3 linked regions of the Astyanax mexicanus genome follow. The protein of the gene in region 3 binds, or shares a complex with, the protein of the main gene of each other region. Links are inferred from orthologs where the notes say so. Each region holds a gene or a part of one and is shown on either strand. Other genes may lie near its edges. The genes, in order: bmp2a, gdf5 and hjv.

What was found.
Region 1: the proteins of hjv (region 3) and bmp2a are in contact, whole or in part, in a crystal structure (PDB 4UI1), measured with the Homo sapiens proteins. The link is inferred for Astyanax mexicanus from reciprocal best matches to the Homo sapiens genes HJV and BMP2. Residues at the interface, in NP_001366281.1 of Homo sapiens: Leu40, Asn43, Tyr46, Val47, Tyr86, Leu101, Ala102, Ser105, Ala106, His108, Gly109, Ile110, Asp112, Leu113; in NP_001191.1 of Homo sapiens: Phe331, Pro332, Ala334, Asp335, Leu337, Asn341, Ile344, Val345, Leu348, Ser351, Val352.
Region 2: the proteins of hjv (region 3) and gdf5 are in contact, whole or in part, in a crystal structure (PDB 6Z3L), measured with the Homo sapiens proteins. The link is inferred for Astyanax mexicanus from reciprocal best matches to the Homo sapiens genes HJV and GDF5. Residues at the interface, in NP_001366281.1 of Homo sapiens: Arg95, Arg98, Gly99, Leu101, His104, Ser105, His108; in NP_000548.2 of Homo sapiens: Met412, Trp414, Trp417, Phe478, Asp480, Ser481, Lys488, Tyr490, Met493.

What each region holds. Positions count from the first base shown.
Region 1 is NC_064421.1:16,601,113-16,612,052, forward strand, and holds bmp2a (bone morphogenetic protein 2), read right to left. Parts: upstream 6,720-10,940; 5' UTR 5,823-6,719; coding exon 5,471-5,822; intron 2,912-5,470; coding exon 2,046-2,911; 3' UTR 139-2,045; downstream 1-138. Other genes in the region: gdf3 (protein DVR-1), read right to left, coding at 8,021-8,841, 9,954-10,224. UniProt on the Homo sapiens protein: Growth factor of the TGF-beta superfamily that plays essential roles in many developmental processes, including cardiogenesis, neurogenesis, and osteogenesis. Induces cartilage and bone formation.
Region 2 is NC_064412.1:43,764,912-43,775,851, reverse strand, and holds the start of gdf5 (growth/differentiation factor 5), read right to left. Parts: upstream 5,843-10,940; 5' UTR 5,478-5,842; coding exon 5,081-5,477; intron 1-5,080. UniProt on the Homo sapiens protein: Growth factor involved in bone and cartilage formation. During cartilage development regulates differentiation of chondrogenic tissue through two pathways.
Region 3 is NC_064413.1:41,790,282-41,801,221, reverse strand, and holds the start of hjv (hemojuvelin), read right to left. Parts: upstream 6,372-10,940; 5' UTR 6,149-6,371; coding exon 6,057-6,148; intron 425-6,056; coding exon 249-424; intron 1-248. UniProt on the Homo sapiens protein: Acts as a bone morphogenetic protein (BMP) coreceptor. Through enhancement of BMP signaling regulates hepcidin (HAMP) expression and regulates iron homeostasis.

The sequences.
Region 1 (10,940 bases), on a different chromosome or scaffold from region 3:
ACATTGATGTTCCATAGAGTGAGTCAGCCAAGTATTATTAGCCATCTTTCCTGTGCTCTCTGTAGAATTCAAAACATTCTTCTACATATTTACGTCAACCTTTACTGCCGCTGAGCACCAATAAATCTTGGTAAAGACTCTGGACAAGAGCTGTTTATTATTTTCTCATACATTTTTGACATTTGAGTTCAAGTAAATGAGAAGTGGGAGGTTGCACCAGTTTTCTTGAACAAGTAAAAAAAAAACAAAAAAACAACCAACCATCCAAAAAAGAAAAAAAAAATCAGGACAGATGTTGGGAAATGGTTAAATGCTATAGTGTTTTACCTCCAGCAGCATGAGAATATTTTGGACAAGTAAATGACAAGGAACCTTGCTTCTTTAACAGTGTCCCCCTCCCTTTCAACCCTTGCAAAACCATTCGTGGCATAATCAGGGCATTAAATTAACTCTTCTACCATCTTGTGAACAATATAGATTCATTTAGGGAGACTGGGGAGGCTTTACTAAGACTTCACTATGGCCCAAACACATTTCAAACTTTTGCCCTACCACTTACCCTTTCACTTTGTGCAATCACACCTAGGGGTTTAGGGAGCTCCAATTCTCGTTGGGATAGGGGAGTAGGGTGAAGCATTATGGCTACATTTATTTATTTATGGCCCTCCTGATTTTTCTTCCAAACAATTTGTTACAATAAAAAATCCACAGGCAAGATGGCTGCACAAGTGACCGAAGAGACCCACCAATGTTGTGCTTTCTTTGTTCAAAAATATGATAACCACCCTTTCTTATTAACAAGAATAAACATTGCTAGTATAGTTCAGATACATTTCACATTCCACCTTAAATGATGCAGCAGTTACATTCAGTTACAACTGCGGCTCCTGCATGATTTACGGTGGAACAGGCAAATTATCTGAACAAAAAATAGTGAATGTCTAGCTAACTTCAGCTCCCTATCACAAATGAATAAGGAGTGGCCATAAACAGGTGACAGGGTTGCCTTCAGAGCATCGCTAACAGTTTTGACAACGTATCACAGTGTCCCTTTTCTTAGAGGGAGGATTTCAACACTTAAGAGTGAAAACAAGGGGTTGGTTACAATTGAGAAATGGGATTGGGTCTATAAAGGGGAATGGATTAGCCTTTGGGAAACCCATGCATCAGAATGAGAAGGACATATAGTAACTGTCTGTAAGGCTATTGATAGATTTCATAGGCTCGCACTGTAGACCTCACGCACACCAACAGTTCCAAAGTTCCTGAGCATTCAGTGTCAACTACCTGTCACATTGCTTCTAGATAAGTGCATTCACATTCACCACTGCTTCTCACTGCAGGAAAGGCCCAACTGGAGTGCATGCTTTTGGATTACTCAACTAACTGAACCAATTGGACTGGTTTCCCAGACAGGGATTAAGCCTAGTCGCAGAGCATACAGCACAGTGAATGGGGATTCTCCACTGGAAGAGATACTAGGTCTAGAGTCTAGGACTAGGCTTAATCTCTCTCTGGAAATCCAACCTATTCAGTGCTTCATGTGACACTAAAAAAAATTAAGGCAGATGGGACTGTCACTGAAACGCTTAACATTAGGTTTAAATCTTCATCAACTCACAATACACAAGCCTTGCTTTCCACTCTAGAAATGATAGGAGACACATAAACCAATCTATGGTGGTACGGTGTGTTGTGGATGTTTTACACATCTATATGTATATATATTTTTGCTTTGAGTACACATAAATAGATATATAAACTATTTAAACTATTCCCTAAAAGTGGTTATGCTAGAAATAAATACAAAAACAAAAAATCTGAGCTGTATACTTCATATGCGGAACTGTACTAGTTGAAATGTACATCAGAAAAATACATTAGCTGAACTCCAATTAAAAATATTTATTTTCCCATTAATGGACATAAATATAGCTTTATATACTTTGTTTCCAAAATATGTGTTTTTACTTTAGCATAAATAAAAGTGTAGTACTGGGTCATAAAGTGTCTTCGCAAAAAAAAAAGTCTCTGCTTAAGGTCCATCAGCGGCACCCACAGCCTTCCACCACCATGTCCTGGTAGTTTTTCAGGATCACCCGCTCGTACTCGTCCAGGTAGAGCAGGGACACGGGGCTCAGGTCTGTGGGCACGCAGCAGGCCTTGGGAATGTTTGTGTTCACTGAGTTCACCAGCGTCTGTACTATCGCGTGGTTTGTGGAGTTGAGGTGGTCTGCCAAAGGGAAGGGGCATTCTCCTTGGCAGTAAAAGGCGTGGTAACCTGGAGGAGCCACTATCCAGTCATTCCAGCCCACGTCGCTGAAGTCCACATAGAGGGAATGCCTCCTACAGTTGGCTTTGTGCTTCTTCTTCGGCTTGTTGATCCTCGCTTGCCGCTTCTGCCGGCTGTGGAGCACATGTCCTTTCCCGTCGTGGCTGAACGTCACCAGCAGAGGCCTCATCTGTGGCCACGAGTCCTCGCTGTCATGCAGCGATCTGCTGACTCGGACGTGCTTCTTGTAGTCCCCGTCTGCGTCTTCCGGGTGAACCACTTCCACCACAAAGCCGTGGTTGGCGTGGTCCTCGGCAGTCCACCGCGAGACGGCCGGACTTACGTCAAAGCTCTCCCACTTGCTCAGGCTGTGCTGCACCAACCTGGTGTCTAGGAGTCTCGTAATGGGCTCTTTCAAAGGACGCCCAGGCTTCATGATCTCATAGATGTTAATGCGATGGCGCCCAGCGAGGCTGCTGCTGTTGCTGCTGCTCCTGCTATTGGTGGCCGCCATGACCTGCTCCCTGTAAATCCTCAGCTCGGCTGAAGTGACAAACTCCTCTCCAGGGATGGAGCTCAGATTGAAGAGGAACCTTTGAGTCGTCTTTCTGCCATGACTCAACAGCTGCTCTGTAGATTCTGAAAAATATGGAGGAAAAAGAGATGAAAACAAGTTTAATATTTATTTATCTTATAATGAAGGCCCTACTAAAATAAAACCCAACAGAAAAGATAGAAAGAGAGAGAAATATCACATCATTTTTTGCCTCAAATTATTAAGAAATACATATAAAAATCTGTCTTCATGATACAAAGAAACAAAGAGATACAAGGTGATTTGAGACCCTTCAAGTAATGCACTTAATTACAGGAACTTTGAATATTTGCCAGTTCTTGCAGTGCATCCCAAGTCTGTGTTTACAGTCACAGAGAAAGCGTGACCTCTTGCTAGTGACACTATCTTCATTACAATAACACAAATGCAGCTTGACCTCCCTCTGGACTCCTAATGTTTAATTCCTCCATGTTCCCTGTGTCAAATCCACCAAAACTGGTTCAAAGACATTTCCAAATTGTAATTCCTCAGCTCAAAATGCATTTCTTTTATTCAGAGACTCATATGTAACTATTTTAAGTTGCTATAGTAATTAAATACAATATTAAATATTAAGACAAATGCATTTCTATTGAAAGGCAAATAATATTCACCTGTTTTCAGATTATTTCAGGCAGAAATGTGTTTTAAGGGTAGTCTCATAAGTACATTTCGTTAAATAAACATATCTCTACTATTATCTGATTATTTTACCTACTTTAAGAGGCACAGTTGTATCTAAAGGACTGTGTATCTAAAAAGTTTCAAATTTGAGTGGATTTTAAAACTTTCGTTTTTTACAGTGTGTGTTCTTTTGCGAAGGTTTGCGAAACCTTCAGATGTTTCTGATCAAAACAAATCAAGCTTTTATTTCATTTAGTTCAAAGGCACTTCTGAAAAACAATTCTTAAGCCTTTCTTTTAATTGAAAGACTATATGGATTGTCTAGGTAATACATTTGCAGAAAGTAAAATGAATGCATGGTTTAATGGCAAATATCCACTTGTTTGCAAACTGCTTATTCTTCTTATTACACAGTTATGTTTGAACTGTGCAGTCACTTTAATATTTATTTATGTATATACGTATATATGCCTTATATATAATTTTGTCTTCTATTTATGCATGCTAAAGAACCTGACTGGGCTAAGAATTGGGAAGAGGTGTTCAGAGAGCAGAACAGAACAGAACATTTGTGTTTGTGAGTGGTTGCAGGAATGTGCTGCCCGTGTTCCTTCTCCTGCCCTGTTGGTGTTGGTGGCTGGCTGGCTGGCTACACCTGTTCCTTATTTTCAGTGAGGACACTGCGTTTTCTGCACAACCAAGATTGCGCAAACATCTCCATAAACAAAATGAGTTTTTTCTCTACCTATTTTCTCCCAGGATAAGTAGTAATTTAGATTGGTGTGTTTGTATCTTTACCATGGACCTCGACCTCACTCTACCGCCAACTTAATTTGCTATGTCACATGATTATAGTCCGCAGTGTGAAGAGCTCTCTCTTGTGAGGAATGAAGGTAATGCAATGTGAAAAGCATTATTGCATTTTTAGCAATAAATAAACAATAAAATATGATTTATCTTATAGCTCTACCTCCACCTTAATTTGCTATGTCACATGATCATAGTCTGCAGCATGAAGAGCTCCCTCTGCTGCACAGGTAATGCAGTTTGAGTTTGCATTTTTGCAACTTTTTGGATGTGTTTATCCAAAAAACTTGTATTGCGATAACAATAAAAATACAATTTATCTATTTATACAATTTGTCTCCAGAATAAAGAGATCTCTCTGCTGCATAAACATCTCTGGAAAAAAAATTAAGAGATCACTTGATTTCCTGAATCAGTTTCTCTGATTTTGCTATTTATAGGTATATGTTTGATTAAAATTAACATTGCTGTTTTTTTTTTTCTAAAAACTACAGACAGCATTTCTCCCAAATTCCAAATAAAAATATTGTAATTTACAGCATTTATTTGCAGAAAATGAGAAATGGCTGAAAAAAAAACAAAATAATGCAGAGCTTTCAGACCTCAAACAATGCAAAGAAAACAAGTTCATATTCATAAAGTTTTAAGAGCTCAGAAATCAATATTTGGTGAAATAACCCTGGTTTTTGATCATAGTTTTCATGCATCTTAGCATGTTCTTCTCCACCAGTCTTACACACTGCTTTTGGATAACTATATGCCCCTCCTGGTGCAAAAAGTCAAGCAGTTTAGCTTAATTTGTTGGCTTGTAATCATCCATCTTCCTCTTGATTATATTCCAGAGGTTCTTAATGTGGTAAAATCAAAGAAACTCATCACAAGAGGTCTCTTAATTTTGTCCTGAGCTGTATGTAATGCAATTTGATTTCAATTATTGCAGTTTTGGGGATTTTTGGTTTATCATGGAAACTCATATCATGATAACAATAAAAATATGATTTATCGTACTGCCCTAGTATGCAGCATGTAGAGCTTTCTCTTTTGATGCAATTATTATTTTCGCACTTTTATCTTGATCCCTATGAAAATATAATGTATTGTACTGACCTTGTTTATATTATTAACACTAACGCGATAGTTTTTTTTTTTTTTTTCAATTTCTGCTCGCTTACCATCATGGTGAAAGCTTCTTATGGTGTTCGCGCGGCTGGCGGACTTCTCGGACTCTCTCCCGAGCGCGCGCCTGCTCGCGCCGTGCTTTGGCTCCGCGTTGGCGGAGTACGCAGTGAACAGGTCCAGCATGTAGCGCGGAACCACGGCGGACCTGCTGGGGGTGGGCCTCTGCTTGAGGCCGAAGAGGCTGAGGAGTCGCGCCTCGAAGGTGCTGAGGGTGTCCTGCGACAAGGGCGCAGCGTATCTCCTGCGGCCCGGCTCGGGCACGAGCCCCGCGGAGCCCCCGAGACGCGCGTAAGCCAGTAGCAGCAGCAGGAGGGGCAGCGCGCGGCGCAGCGCGGCGGAGCGCATGGTCACCCAGCGCCCGGTCGGTCAAGACCTGGGGGCTGGTGGCGCTTAATCACACGGGCACGGGCAGAGGCGCGCGTCCACTTGGCGTCTCCGGTACCACTTAGCCATGTCCGTCACTGTGGGTCCTCCTCCTCCTTTATGTCCTTCTTCTTATTATTCTTCTTCTAGCTTCTAAAGTTGGACCTCATCCTGCTCACGTCTGCTGGACGTTAACACGCAAGCGTATCGTAGACGGTTGGGACCCTAAGTCATAGTCCCAGATAAAGAACTGGAGAACCTCCTCAGCAGGTTCTAACCAAGCACTCGCAGTCTGTCCATCAGTAGAGGAAGATAAGATGTAGAAGCCTCCACTGAAGAATCAATCCAGATTGTACCAGAAGTTGTAGTCTACCTTCACCACCTTGTCCAATCGAGTCCAACTGTGTTTTGAGACCTTGAGTGCTGTGGTGGGTGTATGCAGTATGCGCGCGTAAACGTGTGTGCGTACGCGCGTGCCCTAACTACGTGCACGCACTGCTAGCTCCAGAGGAGAAAGTCCAGCAGAAGAACTCCAAACTCTTCAGAACTCAGCTGCCCAGCACCAGTAATTGGCTACTTCCTTTCAAATCATTGCTGGTTCCATCTCAGGGTCCTCCATCCAAAACATCCATCTCTGAGAGCTTCCCAAACGCATGGACCTCCTGAAGTCAAGTCAGAAGAGCAGCAGAAGGTCTGGTTTTCCTCCTATAGACAGATAGAGAGAGAAAGAGAGAGCTTGGTGGAGTCTGGTGTGCGCACTGTTCTCACTGACACTCTCTCTCCTTCTCTTCCTCTCTCCTTCTGCCCATGTGGCTTTTAGTGGCTCAGTGATGTCACGAATGAACACAGCGAGCAAAGAAGAAAAGAAGGAAGAAAAAAAAAAAAAAGAAAAGAAAATCAAACACCACCCTATCCATGCTGTCAAATAAGGATTAATAATGGTGTGGTGCTCGGGTTCCCAGTGGTTGAAACGGTACAGGTACATCCAACACATGAGATGACTGATGAAATTCCCTCCTCTCCCTTCATGATCCATTATCTCTCCTAAAAAGAAGCAAAAAAATACAGCTTACATATAAAGCCTTAGGATCATAAAATCCACCCTACCTTAAATACAGCAGAATTCAGCCAGAAATATTTATTTTTACTAACTCAATTGCTGCTGTGTTCCACTACAATAGACCAAATCTGGTTATAGAGCACCAACCAGTGGAGGGAATTGAGAAGTACATCTCCCACACCAGCACAGCACCACTGCAGGGTTCTTTAATCCTGGTCCTGGAGGGCCAGTGATCATTTTGGTCTCCTTAATCCTCAAGCCTCAAAATACTGCAAACCTCAGTTTCTCAATTATTCATCTTCGGTCCAAATGTTGAGGATTCCCAACAGAAACGGCCCTCAGCTTTTTTCTTTCTGTTGGCAGAGGTGGCCAAGTCTCATACTTAAGTACATAAAATTGAATATTTGTACTTTTATGTATGCAAGTAAAAATAGTAGAAGTATGATTTGTATTACTCAAGTAAAAAGCATGTCTTTAAACAGGGGCCTCTAATTTTTTTTATTCCCTTTTTATTAAAAATGAGAATAAATGTATACACACTTTGAGCTCAATTGAATTAAATTAAACAATTAAAAATACTAAAGTTCACTATTTTTCTATTTTGCTCTTTTAAAAATGTACTCCACCCACTTAAAATTAACAAACAATCCTCTCCTGTTTAACTGTGTTGGTGTTTAGGTATTTACTGGTGGTAAATATAGTTTATTCAGAAAACTTTTGACAGTGTTGACAGTCATTGTTGTCCTTATAGATTTGAAAACACCACGAGTGATTGAACTGTACTGGTATACTTGTAAACTGAGACTTTTCAGGGGCCATACCAACAGCAGTGCACACAGTAAGAGGCCTAAATGCATGTATAAAAGCAGCAATTTAAAATAAATTAATTAATAAATCAAACATGCAATCTCTGTAAAACTTGTCAAAAACAATTTAAGTTTTTTTTTTATTTTGTTATTTGCCACCTTTGCTTATTGGACTGACTGAACCTTGGATTTAAATTAACAAATGTCTAAAAATGGGATGAAGAATCTGAAACAAGGTAGGTTATTTTTTGTTTAAAAAAAGGCAAGTTTTTATTATTTTCCATTCGTAAAATACAAACAAACAAAAATGTAGCTCATCTGCAGCCGCATTCATCCACCACCATGTCCTCATAATGCCTGAGGACAACATTGTCATTATTGTCATAGTAAAGCATTGAAATAGGAGACAGTTTGACCGGGACGCAGCAGGGCTGAGGCGTCCCCTTTGGGTCAAAGGAGTGGACCAGGGTCTGCAGAATGGCGTGGTTAGTCCCATTCAGACTCTCACTAAGTGGAAAAGGACACTCTCCATGGCAGTAGTTGGCCACATAGCCCTGGGGCGCGATGATCCAGTCCTGCCAGCCGACGTCTCTGAAGTCGATGTAGAGGCGCCTGGGCTTGCACACATTGCTGGGGCTCACAGGCACATAGTAGGCACTTCTCTTCTTCCTCGATCTACACTGGTAAGGGTTCAGAGACACAACCACCAGTGACGTGACCAGTTCAGGGACCCCCACAAAACTAGAGTCATAGTCCACTGGGTCCAGCTGGTTGTCTAGCCGAGTAGACTGCAGAACAAGCACCAGCCCAAAGTTCTTGCCTGGCTTCCTCCACCATTCAGCCAGGTCGGTCAGGTTGAAGTGGACGGTAGTGCTGTGTGTGTAATGAACAGACTGGGAGAGCAGCAGTCTGCGGCTAGAGTCATGGCTCATGCCTTTCAGTGAGGTCCTCAAGACCTTGTAGAGGTGCATGCTGAAAGTATGCTGACCAACCTGGTGGGACAAGTGGGAAAGGTCTGGCTTGAACTTCAGCTCAAGCTGGGCAAAAGAAAGCTGCTCCACATCCTCCAGAACAGACATGTTGAAAAAAAGATGCTTCTCCACACCGTGGCTGATTGAGTCAGAAATGAGTCTACCTGTTGAGAAAGATAACAGATCATGTTCAATATTTATTCAATAAATAAATATAAAAATAAATAAATAAACAAACACCAATAATTTATATCATGTTACACAGGTAGGCAAATGCAAAGTATATGGATTCTGCTTAAAGACTCTTAACCCAGCAGGATGTGGTTGGCTAGCTAGGTGATCAAACCAATTCTCCCTGCTACACTAGGGATTGTAGCAAATATTGAGACTCCAGGTTCAAACTAATTTAAAATCCTGTATTTCTCAGAATATTTACTGACCAACAGTGGAAAAACAAACTAAAAACAATACAATGTTCCTATGCCTTTTTATCTTTGCTATTCTTTTTATAATGTATGATAAATGATACAAATACCAGTAATCATGCACATGTTTCATATATAAAAAAAAGTTTAAAACAAAACAAGAATGATTAAACTTGCATACATCTGTAAATAAAATCATTTTAGCAATATTTGATGACCTATTCAAGAAGTAAACCAATTAGAGGAGCAACTGACTAAGAACTATACACATATATAAAGAACTAGACTAATAGAAATTGACTAAGAATTTAAAATAAATAAATAAAATTATATATATATATTTTATTATAAAAAAAATAATAAAATAACTTGATTTAAAACATACATATATCCACACACACACTCCGCATAGCAAAGCAGCCGGCGCCAGAAGGCAGGCTATGCAGAGCTTAAGCTATGGTTATAGGATGTAAACAGTGCTTTTTAATAAGCTTCTTGTCTACTTTTTAAGTTATTAATGCCTCGTTTTAAATGTCAGGGCTCTCCGGATTCTAGCAATAAGTTGTGGAGCTTCTTTGAGCCATGATAACGGTGGAAAAAGCGATTTATTGTGGAAGATTTTGCCCCGTGTCACCCAGTCTGAAGGGTGTTTGGACAAATTGTTAATTTCTGGATCTCGGAGCGCTGTGGGAGAGCAGAGGTGTGCTATTCATCAATGTTAAGTACTTTTTATCATGTTTTACTAAACCAAAAGTCCATTTTACACCGGAGTTCTCCTTTAATGATGGGTTAATGGGGCACAGGGAGGTTTGTGGTGAGAACAGGGGCAGGGGCAGGGGCAGGAAGCTCACCTTGGTCCAGGACATATCTGACGATGTTGCCCCTCACTCCGTACTCCGGCACCGTGCACGGATCCGGGTCAGTATCCGGTCGCTTCTCGTCGGTTTTCTTGAAGATCCTCCACAGTAGTGAGGGCACAGGACCCCGAGCTGACGGCCTCGGCCGACTGGAAAGACCCAGAGAACTTAAAAACAGCTGCTCCTGAACCTGCACGTCCTCCGTGCTGTCAATAAGTCCAAACGAGCAGAAACACGACAGAAATAAAAGCCTAAAAACCGCCATAGTGAGCAGATACTGAACAGAGAACGCTAACGAGTCTGCCGGCTGCAGGCGTCCAGATTAATCATTTAAAAAGTGCGCCTGCGTGCGGTCTGACGTTTGATTGGCCGAGACAACGAAGGCGCGACGATTAGACAAGGAATAAATTGAATTGTTGTGCAAATTAGGAGCGTTTGAAGGTACGTGTGAACGGAGCTAAAAAAATCCAATTAGCCCATCACTTCCAGTTTGCTTTGACAGGGACAGACAGAGTAAAGGTCTAATTAGTTTATCCTTTTTATTTTTTTACCTTGGCTACCTTTATTCTTTGGCTTTACCTTTATTCTTGGTTTCATTGTGAGAACTGAGAGAGCTAGGTCAACATTAGGAATAAGGAACTTTTTTATCCTTCCCAGCTGGCAAACAACCAACCTTCAAGGGTGAAATGTGTTTGAAATATGGTAATGTCTATTGTTGTTTCAACAGCAAGAGTACCACGAGATAATGATAAGAAATAAAAATATTTAAAAATAACATTTAATAATACAAATAAAATTGTTGGTAAAGTGTTGTTTTATATTTTGATACTCAGCACACCAATACTACGTTAATACATTTCTGCTGTTGCCTGCTGCCATTGACAGAGAAAATTTCTAATTACCTTATTACTGCATTCATTTTTTGTAATATTAATGTTGTCAATAAAGATGTTTTGAAAATATTTTTTTTCAGACAGATTT
Region 2 (10,940 bases), on a different chromosome or scaffold from region 3:
ATGTTTGTAGTTTAAAGCAGTTTCTTAACCCTGATCACTGCCCCAAAATAGTGTTTTCCACCTGATCCACCTGATCAGCTAATAAACAGTCATTTACTGAGTTTACCTAAATTAATCATTATGTATATCAGCAGTGTATTAAACACATCACACCACCACTTACTCTATTAAATGCCTTTAAAGCAGAGGAAGCTGTAGAATATGCAGAACAGTGTTAATATGCAGTATAACATGTAAGAACAGGGTTAAGAAACAAAGCTGTAACGTGACTTCTGTTCATTTGTAGTTCACAGTGACCACATGTCTCTATGAAACGTAAAGTTACATTCTTTTACATAAAAGGACACCATCTTAAGAAGAGCTCTCAGTAGAAAAAAAATAAAACGTAAAAAACGTAAAGATATGACAGAATTGACATGCCAATACATAATAATAATAATAATAATAATAATAATAATAATAATAATAATAACCAAATCTGTTATATTATTTTAAATATTAGCTGATAACTGATCATTTCTGTCATATGTATATTATTCAGACATTGCATGCATAATTTTTTCTAACAACAGTAACTGTAACGTGGAGTAACATGTTTAGGTTGTAAAATCACCTTATAATAATAATTTACTTTTAATTTAAAGTAATTTAGGTTGTTCTAGGAAACTACAGGGTGGACTTGGGTTCATATTGGCAAATGTGTCCCCCCCAATATCAAACCCGCTCCTACGCCCTTGGCTGCACACAAGCTTCAAGCTGTAGATACTATTTTTTAAGGTGGAACAGAACATCCAAATGGGAATCCATGTTCTGTTTTATAGGAACTGATTGTGATTTCTGAACACCCTAAGCAGAAATGTGTAAAACTCTTAAAACACTTTATCATCTATTAACTACAGTCTAAAAAGGGAGTTGTGTTTTAACATAGAGAAAATTTGTTTTAATGCAGGAAAAATGTTAATGTGTTTTAAGAAGAAACTTCATACGCTGCAGTAGACCTCATGAGGAATTAGTTACTCAGATGAGTAGTTTTACAGTAAACTGGTGTTTAAGACTGGTGTTTTTAGTTTCTATCTTTTTATTAGGCTACTAGGAAAAATAACAATAGCCAGTTTTTTTGAAGGCATTAGCCAAGCTATGTAAATGCATTCCTATATCTCCCCTTAACATTTTATATTGTAGTCCCAGTGTCAAAATATGTGCATGAGATGGGACAAAATCCTTATCTACAGTAATTTTTTAGTTACATTCTTATTTTCTATTTATTTAGAATTAAATAACAAATGATTTCTATTGGGGAGATCCTGTAGAATATGAATTGAAATTGAATGGCGAGAAAGATAACAGCCAGTAGCATTGTGTGGTATGTGCTACATTAGCTGACAATTATCATTGTATAATTCACACCCTGTGTACAGCACAAGTGGTTTTATATTGTCTTGTTGAAAACTTCATGGACAGATGTAGTCGTAAAGGCAGCATATGTGGCTCTAAGATCTCAACGTATATTTCTGCATTAATGTGCATCACAGAAGTAAACTGACACACCCCCATACCATGACTGACCTGCACTCGGACTTGCTGATAAGACATTCATTCATTCATTCATTGTCAATTCCCGCTTTATCCGTAAGGGTCACGGGGGTGGGGTGGTTTTGGGTGTTGGGCACTAGAGCCCATCCCAGCCAGCATCAGGTGGAAGGCATTCATTTCTTTCAAAAAAATATCTGCAATACTGATTTTTCTGACCACAATACTCATTTCTACTTTGTGATGGTCTATCCCAGATGCCATAGAGCCCAGAAAGTTGACGCTTCTTCTGGACTGGATTAACATAAGGTTTCTGTTCTGCAGTATCGTGGTAAGTGGTATTAGTGAATGTAACTTTCATAGGTGCCCTTACTCCTTACACACTGAAATTCCTCCCGATTCGAAGAACATTATTTTTAAACATTCTCATACATATGTTATAAACTGGAGAGCTACTGCTCATCTTTGCTTTTCAAAGAACTTTTCCTTGTTTTGTTTTCAAATCATAATTATATTCACCTGTAGACATAACCTTTTTGAAATCATCATCATTATTTACATCATTACTCTTGATAGGCAATTTCGAAGTTTAATGTAGGATACTTTTCTCACTTAGAATATATAAATCACAGTGTTCAGAATGCAGCAGCACGACTCGTCTTCAATATTCCGAAGTTCAGTCATGTGATTCCTTTGCTGCGTTCATTCCACTGGCTTCCTGTTGCCGCCCGCATCAAATTCAAAACCCTGACACTGGCCTACAAGGCAAAGGTGGTGGAATTAACTTCCACTGGCTGTCAGAACAGCAGAGTCACTCACGGTCTTCAAACGTCGACTGAAGACACATCTTTTCAAAGAGTTCCTAAACTAATCCAAAAAACAAAAAAGGTTCCTAGGGTTTTAAACATGATCAAGCTCTGCGTATCTCTGCGTATTTCCTAGTCTACAAACTAACTTTGAATATTTAAAGTAACATCGAAGCACTGTTGTAAGTCGCTCTGGATAAGGGCGTCTGCTAAATACCTTAAATGTAAATGTATATATATCATATGTTGTAATATGTAATTTACAACAGAGAAGAAAGTTATGAACCCTGTTTATAATTTATGCTTTTTCATTCCTCAAGTAACAATATTTAACAGTAGGGCTGGGCGATATTGAAAAAAATCTTATCACAATATAGTTTTTCATATCTGCCAATATCGATATGTATTACGATATAAATCAAATCACTTTCTGCTACACTTTAAGGTTTCTTTATACTCATAGGTGACAGAATAAGGGCGTTATGGCCAAAATTACTAGCAGGCTCAGAGCCTTGTGGACAGACACTAGGATGTCCACATCTTGCCAGGTGGGCACAAGGTGCTCAGACAGCTTTTAAATTAATTTTAAAGTCATTATACATCCACACAGGTCCGCAGGCAACTACATAAAGAAAAATACAATAGTATATCACAGTGTTCATTTAACAGGTGATTTTGATACAGTTTAGTCTTAGTCTTTTGACTAAAATGTATAATAGTTGTAGTTACATTTTAGTCTATCAGATATTATTAGTTTTAGTCACATTTTAGTCTAGTTTTAGTCTCATAAATTTTGGTCATATAAAAAGTATGTATTATATATGTTTTACTGTTTTTCTATTTTAGATTTGTTGTTATTTTGAGATTATTTACTGCTAATGTTTATTAAAATAAAAGTTTTGTTGCATTTAAATTATGCTAACATTTAAATATTTTAAAGCAAGTGACCTGTAATGGAGGTGGGACGAATAAAGTCAAGTTTAGGACAAAAACGGAAAGTGCTGCTTCTCTGTGTGTTTATATACTAACCCCTCACTCGTGCTGAAGCTAACGTTAATTTACACGGAGAGTGGATTAACACGGCTAACGTGCGTTACCCATTAGTTTATTAGAATGTAAAAAGCAGTGAAGGAACCTTAGCTAATGATGACCTCTCTAAATATCTTGGTGAGGAGACTCCATGCCACATATTTAGAAGTTGAGTGTTCCATGGTAGCTCAGCTGAATTTATCGTATAAATGATATTTATGGAGTAAACGGGAGAGGCGACGCTGTGTGGATGAGCTGTGTGAGTTTCAGAGTGAGGGGGTGGGGGTGGGGGGATGGGGGGAGGGAAGTTTTTTTTACCTGGGCTGAGCAGAGGCAGTTTAGCGCGCTGCCTGATCGCGTGCAGCGCCTGTTTGCAGCGCTACTTAACCGGGAAATAGAAAATAAAGTTAATCGAATCCTATCGTCCAGCTTATCATATTTATCGCGATAAATATTTTCCTCAATAACTATCGTTATCGTTTTATCGCCCAGCACTATTTAACAGTGTTTAATTTGTGGTGCTTAGTTCAAATTGGGTAGGTTTTTCCCCCAGCAACACTTACTTTTTTGCCCCAAAATACAAAGTAAAAGTACTGCAGCCTATATGGCCTGTAAGTAAGTCATACATGTTTAGTTAGAAAAATAAAAGTAAACTAGGTTGTCACTGTGGAACATACAACCTGTCTGGGTTCCCACTATTCACCCTCAGTTAAACCAAAACTTTCCTGCTAATGCAGAAGACCTGAGAGCAGTGTGTTGTTTTTATTTTTGCATCTGCATTTGTCATGGCCATCACATGGCCACACAGCTGAACAGAATCGGTAAAGACAGCCTTGCTCATATTCAAAGGCACGCTGGGTACAAATCCACGACAACTTAACAAAGAACACACGGTAAACAATGGAAACCACTAACAAGAGAAAGTCTGGCATTGTGGTAAACAACCACAACAATTCAGGTCCAAAGGGAATGACAGGACCTATATATACAGAGATAATACCAGCATAACAAGACACAGGTGTTTGGTGAGGAGCCAGAGTGGAGGTGAAAAGTCCCTGACGGCAGTGGAGGGACTCTGAAATTGAGTGATTTACTGTCAAATACTTTTAAATTGATATTTTTGCATTATAACCTTTATTCCCTTTAACTTTTGTGTTTGAGTACATTTATACAGTAATGTTTTGGTAAGAACTGACTGCTGGAGAGAACACCTCCATTCAAGATTATCCAGCCAGTGTTTACTTTCAAGCATCTATTAAAACCAGAACTCCTCAGCCTGCAGAGCTGATCATGCTCTAAACACAACTATTATCAACCTGCAGCTATTTACCAGTTTGCGCTGTACCATGACCTGGCATAAGCTGATAATGGGAAAACAGCGTATGAGAACTGTGTATCTAGGTAATAAGTGTGCTTGCTTGCATTATCTGAATAACATAACAAAACAAAATAAACATGTCAGTGGACAGTGAGTGTGCGAATACATAAAATTTATATTAACCCCTATATAACTGATATTATTGTAGGCTATACTGTAATAGACCGTGTAAAGCCATACAAATGTTTGGCCACCACAAATTTTTCCAACTTCTCAGATCTTTATAAATACTCCACAAAGCTCTTTCCAACAAGCAGCAGAAATGTATCAATGTGTTCCTGAAACTAACAGTGTTGATTTAACACTGACATGTAGATAGACATGTAGACAGACAGACCTTGCCCTTTGTCCACGAAGCTGGTGATGGTGTTGGCCATCCCGGCCTCGTGCAGCGCGCTCGTGTTCACCTGGCCGCTGGACAGGGACCAGTACAGAGACAGCATGTAGTCGTGCGGTGTAACTAGCGGATGAGCGCGCGCGCTCTTCTCCTCGTGCGCGCCCCTGGTCTTGGCTGTCTTGCGCGTCGCCGTTTGCGGCTGGTGCGCGGCCGCGCTCCGTCTCGCGCTCTCCGAGTTTGATTGGTGGTGCGCTGGAGAGCGCAGGGCCGCCAGAGCCCCGGCGCGGATGCGCGAGAGTCTGAGTCCGGCGCGTGGCGGCTCTGGTGCGGCGTTCGCGCACAACAGCAGCAAAAGAAGGAGGAGGAGCGGCGGGGGGAAGCGGCTCGCTGCTCTCATGGTGCAGTGGTGGTCGTCGGCGCGCGGACGCTCTCACGCTGCGGCCGCGCAGCATGAAGGAGTCCGAGGAAGCGCGCGCACGGGTTTAGAGCCGCTCTGCGCGGGAACATGATGCAGCTGTAGAGCAGCAGGGTCCGGAGCAGCGCACTGACCCCCACACATCTCATACAGAGAGAGAGAGCATCACCCTCTCCCTCACTTTACCCGCCTGTGTGTGTGTGTCCTCGCTCTGCTCCTTCACATCTTCTGCTCTCTCTCTCTCTCTCTCTCTCTCTGCGTCTCTCTTTATACTCTCTCTCTCCTCTCTCTCTTTCTCTCCCCGTCTCTCTCTCTCCTCTCTCTCTTTCTCTCCCCATCTCTCTATCCCCGTCTCTCTCTCTCTTTTTCTCTCTCTCTGCGTCTCCCTTTATTCTCTCTCTCTCTCTTCTCTCTCTCTCTGCATGCTGGGAGTGGGCGGAGTGAATGTGGGTGAGGGTGGCTGAGTGTTGGAGGTGAGCGTGTGCTTTTCTCTGTTTATTTATTTATTTTGTTTGTTTCTCTTTTTTTTCTCCCCCTGTTTATCAGGATTTAACTTATCTCTAAAGTTTCACTGGTTTCACTGTTCACTACATATAACGGGATATTGGCGGCGGGTGAGAGATGGCGTCTCGCCGCGTGGTGGGGACGCCGGCTCTCTCCCGTTCGCATGGTTTCAGGTGTGTTCCACCTGTTGAAGCTGTAGTGGAGGATGTACTGATCGCGGTGGGTGAAAAAATAGGCTGCGAACAGATTCACTCCGCGTCGCGCATGAACAAAGCCGTGGTGGTGTTTCTGACTGATAAACAACTGGTTAACGGGCTGGTTGAGAGCGGGATTTGGGTGAAGGAGAGCTATGTGTCGGTATCTCCTCTGTCCACTCCCGCCACGAAGGTTACTATTTCAAATGTTCCTCCGTACCTGCCCAATGAACCCATAGCTAAGGAGCTGAGTCGCTTTGGCAAGTTTGCGGGCGAGATCAGCCACATACCGCTGGGCTGCAAGAAGTCAGGACTGAAACATGTCCTGTCTTTCAGGCGCCAGGTGCTTATGTTCCTTAATAGCGCGGATAAGACGCTCGTGGCCTCTTTCCGCGTTTCTGATGGTGCAGGCTCATACCTGGTTTACGCCAGCACGGACAGTCTGCGGTGTTTTCAGTGTGGGACTGTCGGGCATAAACGTTTCGAGTGCCCGGTTAATGAGCAGAGGCGGGATTCTACTGCAGCCGGACCCGGTAGCGCCCCGGAACGGGACGCTGCGGACGCCGCTCCAGAGGATCCAGGTGAGGGTTCATCCACAGCTCTAGTTTCGGAGGTCGGTCGTGGAGTTAAGGTAAGTGAGCGTTTGGGAAGAGGTGTTTCAGATAGTGGGGTTGATCAGCAGCAGGTTAGCCAGGGTATTAATGAGGCTGATTGTGGTGAGGCGGGTGCTCCCGTGAATACTGAGGTGAGTGCTCAGGCTAGTAGTGAGGTTGGTGCTCAGGTGAATGGTGAGGTGTGCACTCAGGTGAGTGGTAAGGTGTGCACTCAGGTGAGTGGTAAGGTGTGCGCTCAGGTGAGTGGTGAGGTGGGTGCTCAGGAGAGCGGCGAGGTGGGTGCTCAGTTGAGTGGTGGGTTTGGTGCTCAGGTGAGTGGTGCATTGGGTGCTCAGGAGAGTGGTGCGCTGGGTGCTCAGGAGAGTGGTGAGCAGGGTGCTCAAGAGAGTGGTGAGCAGGGTGCTCAGGAGAGTGGTGAGCTGGGTGCTCAGGAGAGTGGTGAGCTGGGTGCTCGGAGTGAGTCTCTGTCTGGTTCGGTTGTGTCCCTGGAGGAGGACATGGAGGAGGACAGTATGTCTGAGGTCACTGATTTTGGAGCTAGCCAGTCCAGTTATGAGCAGCTGTACTCTGTGGAACAGATAAACTCTTTCCTGGATGAGACTAAAGGAAAAACTGTGGAGGTGAGTGATTATTTTCCTGATCTGGACAAGTTTGTTTGTTCAGTGTTGATGGTGCAGAAGAGTGTGGGTCTAGACATTCTCCCAAGAAGGAATCATTACCGGCTAAAGAAACATGTTACTGCTATAAGAAAAGCAAAAAAACAAAACGGTCTGAGCACAGATCACGTGGGGAAAAGTCTTCTCCTGTTCTCTTTCTCTGTTTCTGGTTTTACTTTCTCTCTCTATTTCTTACTTCTATTTGTATGGGAGTTTTTAAAGTAGGCTCTTTAAATGTGAACGGTTTTAGAGACCGGGGTAAACAGGCTGTGTTTTCTGAATTTTTTAATCTTAAGAAACTTAATGTGTGCTTTCTACAAGAAACACATAGTGATGAGAACTCTGTGTCTGATTGGGGGTTATGGTGGAAAGGGGATTTTTATCTTAGTCATGGTTCAAATGTTAGTGCTGGGGTAGGTTTTTTTTTCTCCCAGTCCTCTATAGTGTCTGTTCTTTCTGTTGATGAAGTTGTGGCTGGGCGTTTGCTTATGCTGAAAGCGATGGTTTATGATCATGTTTTTGTTTTTATTAATGTGTATGCTCCAAACAGGGGACCAGATAGAAGTGAGCTGTTTGATAGACTGTGTCAGTTGTTACAGTCACTCTCCTCGGAAGACACAGTTGTGTTGGGTGGGGATTAGAACTGTACTTTGGATTTTGTACATGACAGGAACGGTGAGGAGCCTCATCCTCAGTCTGCTCGTACTCTGGCAAACATCATATCAACTTTTGATTTGATAGATATATGGAGGGAAAAACATCCCACGACCAGACAGTATTCTTGGATTAAAGTTACGGATCAGAGAGTGGCTGCGGCACGCTTAGACAGATTATATGTTTCAAATAGTGTAAGGAACATGGTAGGCCGGTCTATGATTCAGCCCACTTCTTTTTCTGATCACCACTTATGTACTGTGGAGTTTTCTTTTGTTTTTCAGTCTCCTACAAGCTGTATGTGGTATTTTAACAGGACACTTTTGCAAGATAAAGTTTTTTGTGAAAATTTTAAACATTTTTGGGCAGAGTGGGTTGGAAAAAAGTATATGTTTGACAGTCTTATGCAATGGTGGGAAGTGGGAAAGGCCCAGATACGGGTCTTTTGCCAGGAGTTTACTGCTTTCTCTACCTTCAATCTTAGACGTGCAGTTGGTGTGCTGGAGCAGGACATTACCAGAATCCACAATGTAACGATACAACAAAATGTGGTGGATTTACGGGCAGAACTTACTGTGAAGCTGCAGGAACTGAGTGACATTTTACATAAAAAGGCGAAGGGAGCTTTGGTTCGGTCCAGGTTTGTGTCTGTGCAGGATATGGATGCCCCTACTGCATTCTTTTTTAATCTTGAAAAGTCTAATTCCCAGCACAAGACGCTGGTCTCTGTTCGTAAGGAGGATGGGACAGTTACGACAGACTTGGTAGAGGTGAAGAGGCTGGCTGTGGGTTTTTATGCTGAGTTGTTTACGGCCCGCCCTCCGGATCAGCAGTGCATTGAGACTCTTCATGAGGATCTACCTCACCTGGATGGACAGCAGCAACAGGAACTGGACACTGCTTTATCTTTTGAGGAGGTTACTAAGGCTGTTTACCAGCTCTCTTCTGGGCGAGCACCTGGTGTTGATGGTTTACCAATTGATTTTTATAAGACTTTTTGGGGAATTATTGGGAAGGACTTGTTTGAAGTTTTGCTGGCTAGTTTTGAAGCTGGTGTACTTCCAATGAGCTGTCAGAGGGCTGTTTTATCTCTTTTACCAAAGAAGGGGGATCTCTGTTTTTTAAAAAATTGGAGGCCTATGTTCTGATTATAAGATTTTATCACGCTGTATAGCAAACAGGTTAAAAGGGGTCCTACAACGGGTAATACATGAAGATCAGACTTACTGTGTACTGAAAAGATCTATTTATGATAATTTGTTTTTACTTCGTGATATGGTTGACTATGCAAAAGTGTGTAAATCGGAGTTTGGTTTTTTATCCCTTGACCAGGAGAAAGCTTTTGATCATGTAGATCATGATTATCTTTTTTCTACCATGAGAGCTTTCGGTTTTGGAGATGGTTTTATTGCTTGGGTTAAGCTGTTATATTCGGGTGCTGTGTGTTTACTCAAGGTAAGGGGTGGTCTGAGTGTTCCTGTTCCTGTTGGCAGGGGGATAAGGCAAGGTTGCCCCCTGTCTGGACAATTGTATTCACTTGTAGTAGAACCTCTTCTCTGTCTGCTTAGGAAGAGACTGTCTGGTTTACAGATTGAGAAGTGTTTAATTAAGGTTTCTGCCTATGCCGATGACATTACTGCAGTAATACGACATGAGCAAGATGTGGTGTCCCTAGAAACAGCATTGCAGGTTTATGGTTCAGCCTCTTCTGCAAAGCTAAATTGGGATAAAACAGAAGCACTTTGGTGTGGTTCTGTTAGTAGAGAGTACTCTTTACCAGCACTTCCAGGTGGTATTAAGTGGAGTCGGACCGGGCTGAAGTTTTTAGGGGTGTGGTTGGGAAATGATGATGCTAAGGCCAGGAACTGGGAAGGTGTAGTTGAAAAGGTTCGTGCCAGGTTGTCTAAATGGTCTTGGTTGCTTCCCCAGTTATCATATAGGGGTCGAGTTCTTGTCGCCAACAACCTCATTGCTTCTGCTTTATGGCATAAGTTCACTGTGCTTAATCCGCCAAGGTATTTGATTGATGCTGTTCAGAAGGCACTGGTGAACTTCTTTTGGAGTGGACAACACTGGCTGAGAGCTGCAGTCCTGTACCTCCCTGTGCAGGAGGGTGGACAGGGGTTAATTGATATTCGATCCAGAGTTGCTGCACTGCGGCTGCAGGCTGTACAAAAGCTGCTGTATCATTATCCCCACAGCTGGATGGATGTTGCTTGTGCTCTCCTGAGGGCTGCAGGTAGATTGGGGTTGGACAGACACCTGTTCTCTATTCGTTTGGGAACAGTGGATTTGGGTGGCCTGACTCCTTTCTATTTAGCGGCTGTGGAGGCGTGGCAGCTTTTCTCTTTTTCCAGGGAGAGTGATGCTGCTCCAACTGGATGGATTTTTGAGGAGCCGCTGTTTCTTAACTCGTTTTTTTCATCGCTCAACCAGGTTTCAGGGGCTGTGAGGATTGGGCTGCTGGAACAAGGTATCTCTAAGGTCTGCCACTTACGGAGGAGTGTGGACTGGGTATAAGAGGAACAGTTGGCAGAGATGGTCGGTCCTAGGTCAGTACGCCTGGCTTCACAGGTACTGAACAAGCTGAAGTCTGACCTGTCTGCCCCTTTACAGACCTACTTGGATGTCACTCCTGTTGACCAGTGCCAGAATGAAGAGTGTGTGTTCCCTGAACTGGTGATGGACCTGGGCTGGGAGGGCTGGCAGGAGGGTCGGGGGATGCTTTTGTCGCTGGGCACCCTGCCTCTAGGCCTTTTTAGCACGCTGAAGAAGGGGGCATTGTATGTTGGCTGTGTTAAAGCACTGAACTTTCATAGTCTG
Region 3 (10,940 bases):
TACTGTTCCATTGTTTCTAAACAAAAAATGTTGATTGTGATACTAAAGTATTTTTTTTATCACTTACAATGTTTGGTGAAATTATATCCTAGGTTTTTGGATCATTTGGATCTATAAAGCTTAAATATTAAAAAGTATCGGTATCAGTATCGATATCGGCAATACTGGCCCTGCGTTTACTTGGTATCGGATCGATACCAAAATTCCCGGTATCGCCCACCTCTAATAAACAGATATAAAAAGCTCACCTTGTGGGGCTGTAAGGAGAACTAACAACAGCACAATGAAACCATGACACCTCCATGTGGTCTTTGTGTGGTTAGTGCAGGTGGCCCGTTCTCCCATTACCGTCCATACACACACAGCCTCAGCGGGCTGCTGAAGCTCCTTACAGTGTAGTGGTGGAGTAGAGTGCTGAGAAGAACTGCAGCCAGCATCCACATGAGGGAGACAAGAGCAAACACAAACACTGAAATCAGTACTTTACTTACAAGTCCATAGAGACTCATTTCAGTAAGCTTGATTACTACAGTACGAATAGATTTCGAATAGATGTCCCCTAGTTCTATTATTCAGCTCTTAATTCTAAAGCAACATAAATAAACATTGTTTTGTTCTATAAACTACGGACAAGATTTCTCTTAAAATTCCAAATAGAAATATTATAATTTGGACCTGAAATAACAAAAAAGATGCAGAGCTTTCAGACTGATTATATTCCAGAGGTTTTTAATTTGGTAAAATCAAAGAAACTCATAATTTTTAGGTGGTCCCTTATTTTTTTCCAGAGCTGTATTTGTGCCATACCACAGGGTCCTATTTTGTAAATGTTAATTATGACAGTAATGCAGTTATAAGTGTGGGCTTACATACAGAGCGTAATGGGTATAATGCTATTATAAAAGATATTGGTAAAAAAAAAAAAAGGACCATATGTCCAAATGTTTGTGAACAGCCCTTCTATAATGAATGCATTCAGCTACTTTAAGGTGGAGCCATTGCTGACACAGATGTGCAAATGCACATTTCAGCTTGATAAGTCCCTGTAGCAAAGTGTTGCCTAAAGAATATTAACATGAAACTATGGGCTAAAGGGGACCTGTTCATAACTGTGAAAAAAACTCTGAAATGATGCTGCTCAGTCCTATACTTTTGGGATGAGTTGGGGAATCTGGATGATGTCAGGTGGTCAGGATAGTTGTACTGCATTGCACCTGCACAATTTGAATCTACTGGCTTTTTGGTACATGGTACCTGGTTCATTTTCTACTGTCATAACCCCCACCTCTCAATATGTCATGAATGATGTCACAAAACACTGCCAATATGTCATCTTCCCAGCAGTGAGAATGCTGAAGTCACATAATGTAATTATGATCTCTGAAGAAAGATTACACCTTTTATGCTTTAGTTTCTGGAACCACATATAAGCAGATATAATGAATATCCAGGAACCAGGTTCCAAATTTGCCTAATGGAAAAGCAAAAAAAAAAGCAGTCGAGAGTCGAGTCACATAGTTCAGGTTCTACATAGTGGAAAAGCTCCATAAGGCTCTTGTTGCTGAATGAATGCAATCAAATCTTAACATCAATGCTCCACTTTCATTTCCCTTTTAGTAGAAATTCTTCTCTTGATAATTCAATCAGTTACTTCAACAAAACCAGGAAGAACTCTTTTTTTTTTTTAATACCCATGATTTTGGAGAACACAATGAATGAGCAGGTGATCTAATACTTTTTGTCATACAATGTTTCTCAAGACAACAGTATTTAATATGATCTCCACCTTTAACCCATCTGTGCAGTAAATACACTGCTCAGGACCCAACCGAGGCAGTTTCCTACACCAGGGTATTGAACCCACAACATCATCATTTCATCAGCAACCCAGTGGTCTAACCATTAATGATGCTGAGGTTTTCAACTTAGTAGTAGTACTGAAACCAGAATTAGAGTAAAGCCCCATCTGGACAGGATTAGTTTGTCAGGGGGTCCTAGGGTAATTTTCTCTTTTATGGGGGGTACTCTGTGATTTTATTCCTATCTGGAACGAACATGTATGTGTTTTTCTCAGACGTCCTGAGAAAAGGCTGAATTACCTACTGTTTTTTGCTGAACTCCATGGTTGTAAGGTCATTTTAGTCTCTTAGTTTTATCACCTCACATTTAATAAAATAGCTATTTGTCCACTGCCACGTACCATAATTAGACTTTTGGCGTGCCTTTTTACAGAGAAAGGATAATAAACACATTTGATGAGTTTGATGTCCCAGAGCTAATGTTCCACATTTCAGTGGACTTTGATTGGAGCTTGACTCCACTGTGGAAATCAGAATCAGACCAAATCAAATGTGCATAGCTCTGTGATCCCAATCTCTCACAGTGGCCACCTGTGTCATTATCAATGTCCAAAATACAAGGCCAGTTGTTTCACCAGTGTCCACACTGGTCTATTCTGGTTTAAGAGTGCCGTTGCTTTTGTTGAAAGGGACATGGTGCAGTTTGGACCCTTGGTGCTGTTCCGTTGTTTGCAGAGTGGAGAGCAAACACTGAGAGGAAGCCAGCTAACTCGAAAGCCTCTGTCATTTATGCTGAGGCCAAGAAGCTCTAAAATGAAGTGGATTCCTAAACTAAGTTTACATTATTTCAGAAATAGCTATAAAAGCACGGTGGAGTGGGGTAAATAGTGACGAGAAGAGAAATCCTTTGGCAAATGTACACGGTCTCAAATATCATATTACGGCTGAAATGTTCATTACTGAGCACTTCCATTGATTCTGCTCGGCACATTCCATTCCTTATATATTTATGGGTGGATCTAATTCAGCTTCAGGGAATCTGCACAAACGTTGACGCACATTTGTGAAGGATTATGTACAGAGTGCTTTCCTGAAATGCTGACAGAGCCCGCTATGACATTTATTCCAGTTGATGGGATGGCCGAGGGGACAGTAGTAATGGGGTGGGGTTTACAGGGTGGGGGAAGGGGTGTAGTTACGAGTTACGGGGCAGAAATAGAGGGCTCTAAATATACCCCCACCATGCCGGCCTGCTCCTCAAACCTTCCCCTTTCCCCGCCCTGCCCTGTCCCGTCTGAAATAGCTGGGGATGAAATGCAGGGCTGGTAAGGCAGGTGTTGGAAATACAGTAGAGCTTCCAGCATTCTGCCCCACATGGACTATCTCCTTCCCCCAGCAATCTAATTTCAACTGGGTCTCTGCACATGCAGGATGGCCCAGCTATTTCTGACATTCTCTGCTATGGAGGGTCTTAATGCTTGTGAATGGCCTGTGCACCTCGCATTTGTCCACTTTCATCACTTTGTTAGGATGTGTGTGTGTGGAGAATGTTTTAGCTGTGTATTTTGGAGCATGTACTTTCACAAAATAGCTGTAGATACTCTAAGCATTGTGGGAGGAGCACCGCTAGCTTCAGAACACAGAGACGACACTGAGATGTTGAAACAACAAAGTAAACAATAGATGCTCTCAGACAAACACTGGGTTTCTCCCCCTACTAGTCACAGCAGTGTCTGATTCACAGGTGTACACACACACACACACACATGCACTCACACATTACTGTAATTAACCCCTTCCGGAAACCATTAGAACTAACTAAATTTTAACATATGTAGCATATATAGCAGAAACACACACATTTACATTTTTTAACATAATGTGAATCTAGCAGATGTTCTTTACATTGTTTTCAAATTGCACAATGAATGGACAAATAGAAAAGCTCCAGAATTACTTATGATAAGTAAGTTTTGTTTTTAAGTTTTTCTTCTCCTGTGTTTTGTGTCAGTGACGATACATAGTTTATTGACACAAGTATTGAACCCCCTGCATATTCATTGTGAGCGTATACAATAGTTTATACTGCTTTTGTTTGAGTAACTGTCTCTATTGTCTAAGAAGGTTTTTTACTCAATTGTACTAGAGTACTGCTGTACGAATTTGATTGCATTAGGCAAAAAAGTGTTAGGTAGACCAGGATGTTGGATAATCACCACCCTTCCTCATCCACAACTCCCTAACTCATCCCAAAAGTATTGGATGGAGCTCCATCATTCCAGAGAACACAGATCCACAGTTCCACATCTCAATGTCAGTGGGATTTATACCCCATTAGCCCAGGGTTTCTCAACACAGGCACCCTGCCCTGGACTTTTATTGCTTTCCCTTCTTCCAACACTCCTGAACTAACTAATAAGTTAATGAACAAAAGCTTTCAGAATGGCGGTGGGCATGTTAAAGCAGAGAAACCACAATAATTTGCAGGGCAGAGTCTGTGCAGGACTACAATTGAGGTTGTAGCCCCAATTGCTCTTTGCAAACAATAACAATTGCTCTAGACCCAATATTAAGTTTATGTTCATCTGCTCCAGAGAGTCCCATTCTATTTGTGGTACTCTACAATCTACTAGGCAAGTTATGTGTAAGCATTTGCCCACCTGTGTCAACAGTGGGAGGAACTTAAAATAGCAGAATGCATTCATTAGAAGGGATGCCCACAAAAAAATTGACATATTGTGTTTATTACAGGCACCATATGAAATGTATATATTGTTGTTTATGCCTACACCCAATCTTTAAAATCAAACAAAAATAAATTGTTTTAAAATGTACAAATAAAACCTTTTTTATGTAAACAGCACATCCCAAAATTAAGTTAAATTTGCTGGTGCTGATATAGTATGGTCCTCTTTGTCTCTGGTTGTCCTACAAAGTTAAAACACACATACACGCACATCTGGAAGCTCCCCTGCTGTATATATTTGCATGCCATAATGGATATCCAGCTGAAGCTAAAATTATAATGTGATGAAAATAAATGGTTTCTTAACATTAGAAATCAACACAGTTCCACTAGGGCCCACAGCTAGCTCACTGTCATCTCAAATGAGGGGAGTATGTCTACTATTTTTTTATCATCGCATTTAAGGTATGTTAAGGGTTTTGGGCCTGTTTTATACACCACTTTTTATACAAACTTCATACAATAAAAAATACTGTTCTTGGCTCAGGCTGAATTTTATAAACAACACACAACATCACAGCATTGGCAGATGAGGTCTGATCTTAGATTAGTGCACAGAAATACACACTGTCCTAACAGACACAGAGATATTTGTCATCTCCATTAAACACCTGTAGTAGATCTGTGTGTGTGTGTAAGGAACATTTTAAAGGTCTAAAGACCCTTCTCTTCATGTAGAGGATATGTTTTACCAATGTTAACTAATATGAATGGTTTTTGCTTGATGTAAAAGTTATTTCCAAACACACAGGTTCTTTACACTTACACATCACTGTTACAGACATTGTTGTTCTATTTAAATTTCTAAAGAATCTTTAATTGATTTAAATGTTCTTTACTAAAGGTTCTTCATTCTTATCCCAGTCCAGAAGTGACACTGAGGTGTTTAAAAACTTTAGCAGCACTGCTGTATCTGATCCACTCATGTCAGAACAACCCACTTTTACCAGGTCAGTGCTGAGAATGATCCACCACCCAAAAAATAGCTGGTCTGTGGTGGTTCTGTGTGGTCCTGACCATTTGAAGATCTGGATGAAAAGGAGGACAATTAAGTAGAAAGTAGAAATATAAGAACTACAATTTACACTCTTATAGAACTACAAAGAGTTGAACAAATTAATTATAGGTGTAGAAACAAGGAAGAGGTCAAAATGTTATGCCTGAGCTGTGTATATATTTAAAATATAGATTTTTATTTTTATTTTTATTTTTATTTTTATGACTACACCTACAAATTTTAAATAACTATATTAAAAGTCTCATTTCTGCCATTTATGGTGTGGAATATTTATGATAGACAGGTTTTTTAGACATCCAAATGTCTGTAACATATTTTAAACATGTTTTTTTCTTTATATAAGCAATTATGCGTCTTCTATATAAAATCTAAATAGACATTTGTCGAACTTTTATTTTTAAGAGTGCACCTGGTCCAAACAAGCCCCAGTTTCCAGCAGTCACGCGCCAGTATGGAAGACTGACTACACCAGTATCAGCAGTTCAGAACTTACCTCTGGTAATGGTGAACTGTTCGCTCCGTTACACCAGTTTGGAACCCTTCATATCCACCAACGCACTGGTTCTGCTCTTCACCTGTACGCATGCAAACTGAGTGTGTATATGTGTGTGTGTGTGTGTGTGTGTGTGTGAGAGAGAGAGTAAGTAGAGCAGTGCTAGTGTGTGTGTGTATCTGTGTGAGTTAGTGTGTGTGTGGGAATGAGTGTTTGTAAGTATGTGTGTATGTGTGAGGTTTCCTCACGCGCAGTGCGCACCTGCCACGCGCGCGACAGCTGCGCGCAGAGGAACAGCTAGCAGAGCAGAGCAGGGCTCGCGAGGGCTATTTTAACCAGAGCAGCAGCAGCAGCTCGAGCTGTTGCAGACCCCCTCCCGACTCACAGGGGGGCTGAGTGTTTGTTAATGACCTGTATTATCTTAAAGCAGTGATTCGGTGAATAAAACAGGTATTCAGACTCACCTGACTGCTCCACGCGCAGCAGCAGCAGCGAGGCTACCATTCTCAGTCTGTGCAGCACGTGTGTCTGTTTTCCTACACTTGAGAAAAGTCTCAGTTTAGTGTGAGAAGTGTGTGTTTACCTATAGAAACCCATTTCCACTAATTAAAACAAATCCAGCACCATTAGTTTTTTTCTCTTTTGAGATACTATCTCATTATTTTGAGATACTAAATCATTATTTTGAGATACAAAGTCATTATTTTAAGATGCAATCAAATTATTTGGAGATACTTAGTTGCTATTTTGAGATGCTACAGTATATCTTTATTTTATCTCATTACTTTGAGATACAAAGTCGTTATTTTGAGATGTGATCTGTTTTGAGATATTAAGTTGCTATTTTGAGATGCTTTATCTTTATTTTGAAATACTAATTCATTTTGAGATGTTATCTCATTACTTTGAGAGTCGTTATTTTGAGATGTGATCTAGCTATTTTGAGATACTAAGTTGCTATTTTGATGGTATATCTAACATTCATTTGTGATAGCACGTCTTTCTTTTGCAATATTACGTCATTATTTTGAGATACTAAGTTGTTATTTTGAGATGCAATCTAATTATTTTCAGATATAAAAGCTGCTATTTGTGATCTAACTATTTTGAGATACTAAGTTGCTATTTTCATGATCATCTTTATTTTGAAATACTAATATTCATTTGTGATACCAGGTCTTTCTTTTGCAATATTTTTAAATGCTATATAGTTATCTTGCAAGACTTTATTCTGAGATATTGTTATTAATTTCAGATATTATGTCTTGAGATGTAAAATCATTATTTTGAAATACTAACATTTATTTGTGATAACAGGTCTTTCTTTTGCAATATTAAGTCATTATTTTGAGATCATTAATATTATATTAATATGCAATATTAAGTAATTAAAATAACCAGTGGAATGTTCTATTGTTTTTCATAAATTTAATGTTTCTTTTTTAAGGGACTGAATGCATGAATAATGTTTAGCAACTGATAATATTAATATTATATCACATTGTCTCTATACCTCTTTGCTGAGATAAAGCTTTAGCTGTTTATTTTATTGTAGTAAAATCATGGTAATTAAAATTGTTTTAGAAAATTAAAACATATCTTTAAAACAGAACCAGGCCAAGAATTAAAATATAAATAAATATAAAAAGAGATTAAGCTGTGGAAAAAATATTTTTGTGTAGTCTAAAGCCTTAATATAAATATATGTATATAATTGTAAGTAGTTAAATCATTGTTTTTAGGTTTTGAGACCCTGTATTCTGATAATGACCTTTGTGTTTTGAACTGAACGTATTGTGCAGTACAGTTAACATTCATACATCCATGAAAATCTGTTTAATATTCACAGACTCTCCAAAGTTATTTACCAGAACAAATCCAGCCCTGTAGTGTGTTTACTGCATTATCATGAACATTCTAATATCAGATCTAGCAAAAAGTGATTTAAAGTGCCTCTTACTGTTAGTGATAATTACATCACATACACAGCTCAAATGCCCTCCACCTACACAAATGTCTGTTTTACTGAGAACCACCTATTATTGTTGTATTGTTGTAACAAAGTAATGCTAAATCGACCCTATCCTTATTTAAATCTAACTTAGCCTAATCTATATAACTATAGCATAACTCCAACTGAACCTTTACCCTACAACTGCTCATAAAAAATGCTTATAACACTAACCTGAAACTAAAACCTCAGTAACCTACATCTAACACCAAACTACAGCTCTTTAATTTACAGCTACATTAATCCTAATTTCTGTGATTTCCATTTAAATCTAAATTTAACATCCATAACCTACTCCTAAACATAACCTAAGAAACCTACACCAGCACCCAACCCTAACCTCCGTAGTTTGTTCCTAAGGCTGCTGTGGTACACAGGTGGAAGAGAGTGGGACTCATTTGGGTCAAGATATAAACAGACATGAAATGGGCAATCCAGGACACATGGAATTTTAACAGTTATTAACAAAAAAAATCAGTTATTTTAAATATATAAATTTGTAAATAACAGTAAAATCTTTTTTAGTGTTGTTTTTTTTTTATAAATGGAGGTTTGTCAATATATTGTATATTATTTTAGCTCAGTTTCATTGATAATCCAAAAATACATTAACATGCATATCATCCATACATCCATACATCCATAATACAAGTCACGTTTGGACACACCTTATCATTTAATGTTTTTTTTTAATCAATTTTCTATTTTCTACACTGTAGTTTATTACTAAAGACATCAAAACTATGAAGAAACACATATGGAATTATGTGATAGACAAAAAAAAGGTTTATGGCCTCTACAATCACCTAAACCTAAACCTAGTTCAAAATCTAGATGAAGTTGGAATGCAGTGTGAAGGGAAAAAAAATCAACAAGTACACAGCATCTCTGAGAACGTCTTTACGTCAGAGGACCATTCCATGTTATGTTTACTACATACTACCATATTGTATTCCTTCAGAGTTTAATTATCTTCAATACTTTATATATGTATATATGAAATGCAATGTAGAAAATAAAGAAAGAAAATCATTTAATTAGAAGGGGTGTGTCCAAACTTTTGACTGGTATTGTATAAACTGCTCCTGAGTTTGTTTGAGATCTGATGGACCCCATCTTCTCTCAGTGGTCTTGGTGCAGTTGTTTTAGTATACCTTTGAGTCAGATTAAGGTGTCCAAATGAATCACACCAAGACTGAAACTGAACCGCAGTCTGATTTCAACTGAACTAAGAACTACACTGTTTACTTTAACCAGATAATCAGTATAGGTATTAACAAATGACATATTTGTTGTTGCTCCGTGTTAAATCAGACATATTTGACCATCCATCTATCTCTCCATCCATACATACACCCCACCCACTCACTCACTTGATCCCACTACTCCATCTATCCATCCATCCATCCATCCATCAATTAGTAAAACCATGTGAACTCAGCACTGATGTGCTACTATTTGACACACTTCATGAATTATTTTGTTGGTACACTACATTATAGCTATTTTTTCCCGTTCACCCCTCCTCTTCTACAGCTCTCTCTCTCTCCCTCCCTACCTCACCCTCTCCCTCCCTACCTCACCCTCTCCCTCCCTACCTCACCCTCTCCCTCCCTATCTCACCCTCTCCCTCCCTTGTCCTCTCTCCCTATTTCTGTCTCCCTCACCCTCTCTCTCTTCATCTCTCCCTACCCTCCCTTTCTCTCCCTCACCCTCTCTCTTTTCATCTCTCTCTCCCTACTTCTGTCCCCCTCTCTATCTCCCAACTTCTCTCTCTTTCTCTCTCTCTCTCTCTCTCTTCCTCTCTCTCTGCTCCACTGAGCACTCTTTGTTGACTGCGCTGATGGGGGCGGGGCTCTGCGGGACGGGACTCCTATTGTGCGGGGAGATTTGGGGGAAAGAAAGGCAAGAACCGAAACCTCGTTGTTGCAGGCGTGCCAAAAGCGTGCAAGCGGACTATGGCGGAGGTGGAAGCGGCTGTGCGCTGAGAAACACGCGGTTATTAGCCGTGTGTCGTTGTGTTTGGTGTGGAGCAGTTTGAGTTGTGAAGTTGAGGGAGGAGCGCGGTGGTCAGCAGCAGCAGCAGGAGCTCCGTGGCCAGTTCCTCTCCCTCTCCGTGTGTTGGCGTGTTTTGGTCGGTGAGTCTCAGCGTTGTTTTGTGTTTTTCTTTAGCTTTAGCTCGAGTCTGAGACATTCGGCGTTGTTGTGGGTGTATAACTGAGCGCTGGTTAGGTATAGAAGCCGTTAGCTTAGCCTGTTTGGGGGAAAGTTGGCTAGTTAACTTTTCCATGCTAATGCTTGGTCGGGCTCTTCGCCAGCTACGACGTTTCTAGGCAACCTGTTGTCCGGGAAACACTGCGCTGCACGTTGGCACGCCGAAATACGTGCTGTACGCGCTAACGCTAGCTAATTTTAATAGAATTATATTGTTTATTTTTATTATTTATTCTAACGAATTTGTCTATTTTATAGTAAGATTATATGTACGTCTTTATTCCACATCTACATTTAAAAATGATTTAGAATTATATATTTAAATGTTTTTTTTTTTTATCTGGGGCGTGGCCACTTCCATGCCCCGCCCACCATGCGTTCCCTCCAAAAAAAATCTTAAAAAGCAGGCCTTAATCCATCACAGTTAAATAAAAATAATAATGATAAATTATTCTGTACATAAAACACTTTAATAATGTTTTGATACTTTTTAAGTGTAAGTAAATAAATACATATTTTTTTTATCCACTCTAATTGTTCTGATTCTTTTCTTCCAGATGGACACTGCACATCTATCTGCCCATGTGCCCAGTTACTGCCTCATGTGCCCCATGTGCTCTGTGTGTCCCGGGGCCTGGCAGGCACGGGGTGCGGTGCAC